Linked DNA regions of Notamacropus eugenii. The protein of the gene in region 1 binds, or shares a complex with, the protein of each later gene. Links are inferred from orthologs where the notes say so. Each region holds a gene or a part of one and is shown in the gene's direction. Other genes may lie near its edges.

What was found. Proteins that work in one complex are often made in the same cells at the same time.
Region 2: the proteins of GIPR (region 1) and GIP are in contact, whole or in part, in a cryo-EM structure (PDB 7RA3), measured with the Homo sapiens proteins. The link is inferred for Notamacropus eugenii from reciprocal best matches to the Homo sapiens genes GIPR and GIP. Residues at the interface, in NP_000155.1 of Homo sapiens: Gln30, Thr31, Ala32, Leu35, Tyr36, Trp39, Tyr68, Trp71, Leu88, Trp90, Arg101, Arg113, His115, Asn120, Gln130, Arg131, Leu134, Glu135, Leu137, Gln138, Tyr141, Tyr145, Arg183, Ile187, Arg190, Asp191, Pro197, Gly198, Pro199, Tyr200; in NP_004114.1 of Homo sapiens: Tyr52, Ala53, Glu54, Gly55, Thr56, Phe57, Ile58, Ser59, Asp60, Tyr61, Ser62, Ile63, Ala64, Met65, Asp66, Lys67, Ile68, His69, Gln70, Gln71, Phe73, Val74, Trp76, Leu77, Leu78, Lys81.

What each region holds. Positions count from the first base shown.
Region 1 is NW_027325105.1:183,179-186,923, forward strand, and holds the start of GIPR (gastric inhibitory polypeptide receptor), read left to right. Parts: upstream 1-926; 5' UTR 927-1,077; coding exon 1,078-1,140; intron 1,141-1,589; coding exon 1,590-1,689; intron 1,690-2,182; coding exon 2,183-2,290; intron 2,291-3,004; coding exon 3,005-3,108; intron 3,109-3,224; coding exon 3,225-3,328; intron 3,329-3,745. UniProt on the Homo sapiens protein: This is a receptor for GIP. The activity of this receptor is mediated by G proteins which activate adenylyl cyclase.
Region 2 is NC_092873.1:352,061,270-352,065,014, forward strand, and holds the start of GIP (gastric inhibitory polypeptide), read left to right. Parts: upstream 1-1,494; 5' UTR 1,495-1,505; coding exon 1,506-1,591; intron 1,592-2,681; coding exon 2,682-2,828; intron 2,829-3,745. UniProt on the Homo sapiens protein: Potent stimulator of insulin secretion and relatively poor inhibitor of gastric acid secretion.

The sequences.
Region 1 (3,745 bases):
GAAGGAAGGTAGTGGATGGATCCCCTCCTGAGAAAGGTGGGGAATGGAAAGTACGTTGAGATATGTGGCAAAATAGAGACTAGGCCAACAGTTCTTGGAGGGAATGGGAGGTGGGGTGGGGGGTGGCAAACAGTCCATTCCTTCATTCTCAGTCTGGTATGGGGAAGCATTGGAAATGATTTAGAAGTTATCTAGTTGTTCAGTCATTTCAGTCGGGTCCTACTCTCCATGATCCCATTTGGAGTTTTCTTGGCAAAGATACTGGAGTGGTTTGTCATTTTCTTCTCCAGCTCATATCACAGATGAGGAAACTGAGGCAAACTTGCCCAGGGTCACACAGCTGGTAAGTGTCTGAAGCCAGATTTGAACTCAGGAAGATGAGTCTTGAAGACTGGCACTCTACCTGGCTGCCTTATAACTTAGAAGTTAGGGGAGATCAGAAGCCATCAACTAAATCCTCTATTTCTGCCATGGATCTCAAAGTGCTTTCTGGAAAACACAGAAACAGCTTGATCTAATGGGTTGAAATCCTCTTTCTTTTTTTTCATTTTCTCTGTACAATGGGCATTGTAATAATATTTTCCATCCCCCACTTTCCTCGGGAGGGGTTCCATCCACTACTTTCCTTCTTGACAACACCTCAGATCTCAAAACTTTTGGAAGCTAGAGAGGGATTGGGGTAGGGACAGAGGAACCCAGGTGTCTGAGGCATCTGAATGAAGGAGAAAATGTGGCTCTATTTGCTTTGTCCCAATTGTTCTCACAGAGTAGTTAGGAATAGGGACTGGATCCATGATTTTCATTGGTATAGAGAGCTACTAGGTGACGAAATTCCCTCTGCCAAAACAGGTTAGCTCTTCCCTTCAATTTAATAGTCACTAGATTGTGTAGACTAAGGTACCAAGATGCCCTAAGATGAGGTGACCTTTCAGGGTCACAGAGCCAAGATGTGTCAGAGAGCTTCCTGGCTCCAAGGTCATCTGTGTCTCATGCTACCTTGCCTCCCACAAGATTGTTAAAAGAAGCTCCGAGGCACTCCTGGAACCGTGGGCTCTGAAGGCCAGATTCCTTCCTGTGATGTTGACATCTCCACTTGTCCTGATTCTCTTGCTGTCCCATCCAGTCCTGTGGAAAGCACAAGTAAGGTGGCCATAAGGGCTTAGAAATCCTCCTGGGGGTGGAGGGGGCTGAGGGATAAGAAAACACACCCAGGACCACTAATGGTGGGTTTACAGATGCCCTCCTCATTCCCAAGTAATTGTCACATGATCAAGTTTTCCAGGTTTTAAGACACCCCTCAGTTTAGATGGCTACTCTAGACCACCTCCTTTCCCTTTCTCACATCAGCCTGCAAATCCTGTCCCCTGACCCCTTGCTGATACCTTACAAATCTGGGATAAGTACAAGATCTTCTATAGGAGAAGGGTGGGGAACATTTCAGGATATAGAGGATGGGGCAGATGGGATGGGTTCTGATGGCTTTCCAAGAGGGTTTTAAACCTCACAACCAATTGTGGTAGAAATTCCAAGATCCCTTCCTCTTCTCCTGTGCACCTGGGGGTCTGGGGAGGAGGGTTCTTTCTCCACAGGCCAAGTTTCCAAGGAGTACAGCAGATGAGGCCTACCGTCGGTGGCTGCAGTACCAGGCTCAGTGCCAGGAGGCTCTAGCTGCTGCTGAACCATTGGCAGGTGAGCTGGGGCTCCTGAGGGATGGAATAAGTGGGCTGGTCTGAATCTCAGAAAGAATCTGGGGGGAAGGATCAAATGCATGCAGGCCACTATTCAGGCTGATGGAGATGCCTTTACAAGACCCCAAGTGTCTCAACTGTGGGTGCTGGGGGATGGCTGTGGATGTATTCAGGCAGACTGAAATGTATGTGTTGGAGGAGGAGGATAGGAAGGGATTGGTGGAATGACCAGTCTGTCCAGACCTAGGGGAAAGCATCAAGGATGGGCATTCCATGGTATGGAGAGTTCACGGATATGATGGGTCATGCTTGAGCTAATGAAGGGAGGAGGAGGTTAAAGCAGCCATTAGAGTCTATGGGAAGGATAGGGGAAGAATTCACCTCCTTCACAAATCCATATTCTCTTCCTCTCTCCTCCCCACCCTCCTTGGGGAAGCCTGGGAGATGGAACTGGGAGTGAACATCTTTGCCTCCTTTGCTTCCTCCTCCCCCAGGCCTTGCCTGCAATGGAACCTTCGACATGTATGCCTGCTGGCCCCACTCACCCCCTAACACCACAGCCAGTGCCCCCTGCCCCTGGTACCTGCCCTGGCACCAGGAAGGTGAGGATTCCCTCCTTTGGAGAGTAGCAAAGAGGCCCATCTCTTGAGGCTTTGAGTCTGAGGCTGCCTCAGTTTCCCTTTTTCTACCTGTTTTGGGGTTTCTCTGTGTCTCTCCTTTCTCCTCTCTGTGGGAGACTCGCTATCTCCATGTCTTGGTGTTTCTCTGGTTCTGTGGTTCTTTGACTCTCTCGGTGTTATCTGAGTCTCTTTGGTTTCCTAGATTCAAGTCTTTGTCTCCCCATGGGACCTTGGGAAAGTCATCCCCCCGGCATGGGTTTCAGCTTTCCCCTCACCCTGTGTAAAAAGAGGAATTGAGTTAGATGTTCTCCATGTGCCTCTTATTCCGTGTTCTAATGAATTGTATGCTCAGGGACCCCCAGGTCTGACACACTCATACTGAGCTCCTCTTTCTCTGGGAACATCTCTGTATTTCTGTCTAGAATGGCACGAGACAAGGACCTGGGCTTGAAGTCAGGAAGACCTGGGTTCGAATATTGCCTCAAACTATGTGACCCTGATCAAGTCACTGAACCTTTCTAGGCCTTAGTTTCCTCATCTGTAAAATGAAGAGATCTCTTCCAGCTTGAAATCTGTGACCCTGTGAGCTCTCTTAGTACCTACAGGTGCCTCTCTGGGTCTCTGCCCCACCTCACCTTCCACCCTGACATCACACCCCTCCTCCAGCCCGGTCTCTGTCTTCCACGTTCTCTATAGTGACCACCGGCTCTGTGCTGCGTCTCTGTGGGGCTGACGGGCAGTGGGGATCCTGGAGGGACCATTCCCAATGTGTGTCTCCAGAGACAGAGCAGGTCTTCCAGGTGAGATTATTACCCTTTCCTCAGGGAGACTCTGGAAAAATCTCGATGTCTCATGGGAAAGTGTGCTATTGATCTCAGGGCTGTGTGCTGAGCTCTGAGGGTCTTCTTTCCTCCAGAGTCAAAGGCTCATCCTGGAGAAGCTGCAACTGATGTATACAGTGGGGTACTCACTCTCCCTGGTTGCCCTGTTGCTGGCTCTGATTATACTCAGCTCCTTTAGGTAACTGGTCCCAGAGGAGAGACAAGACCCTGTCCTCAGAGGGCCCCCAGTCTAAAGAGAGACTCAGCTTTGCTCTTTAGGAGACTCTGGATGGGTGGGGGGAAATATGTGAGGGTGGAGGACAGACATGTTTTCAAGCACAAGGGCCTTTAGATGGATGATGGATCAGACTGGTTGTTTGGCTCTAGAAGAGAGGACTTCTAGGCTCCATGTCAGGAAGAGCTGTCCAAAAGTGGAATGAACTGTCTTGGAAGGTGGTGGAGTCCCCTCTGTATAGACATCTTCAAGCAAAGATAGGATGACCATTTGTTGGGCAAGGATGGAAGGTCAGCCCAGGGCAGGCTTCCTTAGGGAGAACTGGAAAGGAAATATATGGAGTATGTGTTGGGGTGGGGGGGAAGAAGGGGAGAGCTGGTC
Region 2 (3,745 bases), on another chromosome or scaffold:
TGACCAATTAGTATAATTCAGGTGGAAAAGGAAGGTTTACCAAGTGGTAAATGGCTTGGAGATAGTGTAAACACTGGGCTTGACTTCTTGTGATAAGAAGCTTTTAATCTAATCAGTTCCTTTATATTTAGGGAATATAAAGGGATTGGAGTTCCGTAGCCACCAACAGATTTCCCAGAAGCAGACTTGGAAAAACTTGCAGGTAAGAGGAATACTTATCTTCTTGTTGCTTGTTTGTTTCAGTGATGTTCAAGTCTCTGTGACTCTGGGTTTGTTTGTTTATTATTGTGGCAAAGAAAAAAAAATCAAACGGGAAGGGAAGACCCTCAGGGTTCCTGAGTAAAAGAAACAATTACTATCTAGTTATTACATCCACTCTATTCTGGGTGAGTGGGGACTTGTTGTCCAGTCTATGAGCTCCAGAGTGAATTGGTTTAAGACTTGATCTTTGAGCAAGAAATGTAACCAGTAAACCCAAGGGAAAAAAGGCAGCTTTTGGAACTTTCCCCTGGGTAGAAGGAGAAGAGAGGAGAGGAGAGGATAAGAAGGGAGGGGAGGCGAGGGGAGGAGAGGAGAAGAAGCCTATTCATTGAATGGGTGTATCTCATGGGTCTCACATTGCATCAGGCCACTGGACCCAGATGGCTCAGAAGAAGAAAGTAAGGCTGGTGACCTTGCACAGCCCTCCCTCACTCAAATCAAAGTCAACTGCAAGTCATGTCATCATCCTGATGTCATGATCCTCTTTAAGAACAAAAGACAAACACAACAAAAACAACAATTTTGGCAAAGATACTGGAGTGGTTTGTCATTTCCATCTCTGGTCCATTTTATAGATGAGGAAACTGAGGCAAACAGGGTTAAGTGACTTGCCCAGGCTCACACAGCTAATAAGTGTCTGAGACTGATTTGGAACTAGGGTCTTCCTGACTCGAGGCCTGGTGCTCTATCCACTGTGCCATTTAACTACAAGACAAAACTGCAAGACAGAAGAGAAGGTGAGTGATAAAGGCTAAGAAATGGATAAGATAGAATAAGATAGAATCTAGTAACTGGGGGATGTCTGGAATCCTAAAACCATCTCTCCCTCTCCCTCTAGATAATGCTATCTCTCTCAGCACTAAAAATGGCAGTCTTTGGGGCAGAGGGTAATCTTGACCTGGGGTCTCTGGATCTTTTGACCCTTGACCTCTGACATTGGCTGTGAGACCCTGAGCAAGTCACTTAAATTCTCAGTGATCCAGATGAGTCTCTAAGATTAAAATTAACAGAACAGTTGCTGATATGGTGGTTTCTTCACCTATACCTACAGCTGCCTACCACTGTGAAATCACAGATCCAGACAGAAAATCCCCCAAACTCCAGACTTAGTCCAGTCTCTGCTGCCCTTTCTACCCTAACCCCTCCATAAGGCCATAGCTACTACTCTGACCCCATTCTCAGCTCGGCTCGACTCAGTTAAATCACAGCCCTTCTCTCTTGTCTCAGGAAACAGGACTGAGAAGATGGTGAAAGTCAAGGCTTTTTCTCTGATGCTGTTGCCTCTATTCTTGGTAGTAGTGAACAGTGCTATGGAAGAGGCTCACTTCAGGTAAAGGTATCTCTTGCTTGACAGAGTAGAGAGAAGGACTGGAAGTATGACTCCATCTTGGGCTTCCTCACAGACACCTATTTGGCTTAGAGAGTGAGAATTTAGTGACCATAGATAAGAGAAGCCCAAGGAAGTAGTCTAGCAAAAGTCTCTGAAGGATGCTAATTGAACTATTCTTCTTCCTCAGAGGATGAGGCCAGGGTGGGTGGAGTTTAGGCTGCAGGCAGGGAGATTGAGAATAGACATTTGGAGGAATTGTCTGATAGTCACCTGACTGAGGAAAATTGGAATATCGCTTCTTGGAGAACTTCAGCTAGCATCTATTTTCTATTTCTTGAATGGGTTAGGTTGGTGAGTTGCCTTTCCAAAGGTAAAGAGATAAACTACAGACTTTTTTGGGGGGGTAGGGGAGGGCGGTCTATATAGACTGCATCATTATGACTGTCTATCAAGGAGCTGAGTAAGGCAAGAAAGAAAATGGAAGTGTGGCAGAGGTGATCAGGAAAATCCCTGACTTACTCAACTGGAGTACCTCCAGTGGAGTTGGACATATACTCTGCTGAGAGACTTTCTTCTTTCTGAGATTATTTAGCAACTCCTTATAGCTCCCAATTGAAACAAGAGTGATTCTTGTTTCAGGGGAGTGATTCAACATGAGGGGAGGAGGGGAACCTATATGAGAGGTCCCACTTTCTTCTAATTTCTCCTGCCTATATCACAGCTTCCACTGGAACCAAAGTGATATATTGAGAGAAGTCCCTGGGTTGAGAATGAAACTCCATCTATATCATATCTCTGACAAGATATTTGGGCATGAAAACACATAGCCAGTAAAAATGAGCTCAGTTTGTTTTTTAATGGGTCTTCCTGAGTTGTTGTAAATATTTTTCTCCTGATTGCTATTGACCTTCCTTTCCTTCCTTCCATAGCTTTCCCTGTCCTTTCTTCCTCTCTCATCTTCTATCCCTCTCTTCTTCTATCCCTCCCCCTGATCTGTTCCCTGTTCTCTTCTTCTTGATCCTCTCTTGATTCTATTTTCCATCATTTCTTACCTCTCAGCCCCACTGAGTCGCCTCTTCTCACACTGTAGGCCTCACCCCAAAGTTGGTGGCCCTTGGGCTCGAGGACAGCGCTATGCTGAGGGGACCTTCATTAGTGACTACAGCATCACCATGGATAAGATCATGCAACAGGACTTTGTTAACTGGCTGCTGTCCCAGAAGGGGAAAAAGAACAAGTGAGGAGTTTCTCATCTCTTTCCCAGGGTCCTCTAAGCCCTTGCTCCTCTACCTCACTGTTTCCCTGGGTCCCTCCTCTTCCCCTAGCATCTCCTGGTTCCTTTCTCACAGTGTTCCCCAGTTCTCTCACTTTTTTTAAGTGTTTGCTAACTTATTTTTCCTTTTAAAAATTTTTAACATTATTTTTTTTAAATTTTGAGCTCTAAATTTTCTCATTCCCTCTGATCCCAGTCCTTCCAACATCTTGACAGCCCAGTCCCTCTTTTCTAGTATCCTCATCATTTTCCCCTGGAGTTATCTCTCTTCCTCACCTTTCAGCTCCCAACCCCATTATCTCCACCCTTTTCAGCCCCTCATGTCAGGTTGGACTGGTCTTGCCCTTAGAGCTCAAACTGTTGTCAGTGGTCCTCTAAAGGCACCCTGGAGAAGAGCCCTATCCACTTTGCTTCAGTTACAGCTCTGATTAAGTGAAATAATCCAGTTTTGGGGTTGTACCAAATTGCTTTTTTCAATACTGAATCTACGTCACCACTTTTAAAGGGAGAACATATTGAACTCTCAGGAGTTTACAGAAAGGAGAAGGATATTGAGGCAATACGAAGTGTAGCACTCTCAAATTTTCTAATGGCAGGAAACTTTGGGAAGAGGATAAATCAATCTCTATTCTCAAGGGTTCCCTTTATCACTCTTCAAGACTGGTCTTAATGTAATTGAGGGTGTCCTCTTTGGGGGCCCTGAAATTTGTGTAGTGATAATTGAAAAATGAATTAAGGAATTGGTTGGGTGAAGGGGGAGATAAGTCTGTGAAGGGGAGACAGAGATATTAGGAATTGAAAGGCCACTTGACTAAAGTCACCCCCTCCTTTCTAAACTGCAAAACTCAGCATTATCTACTCTCTGACCTTTGTCTTGCCAG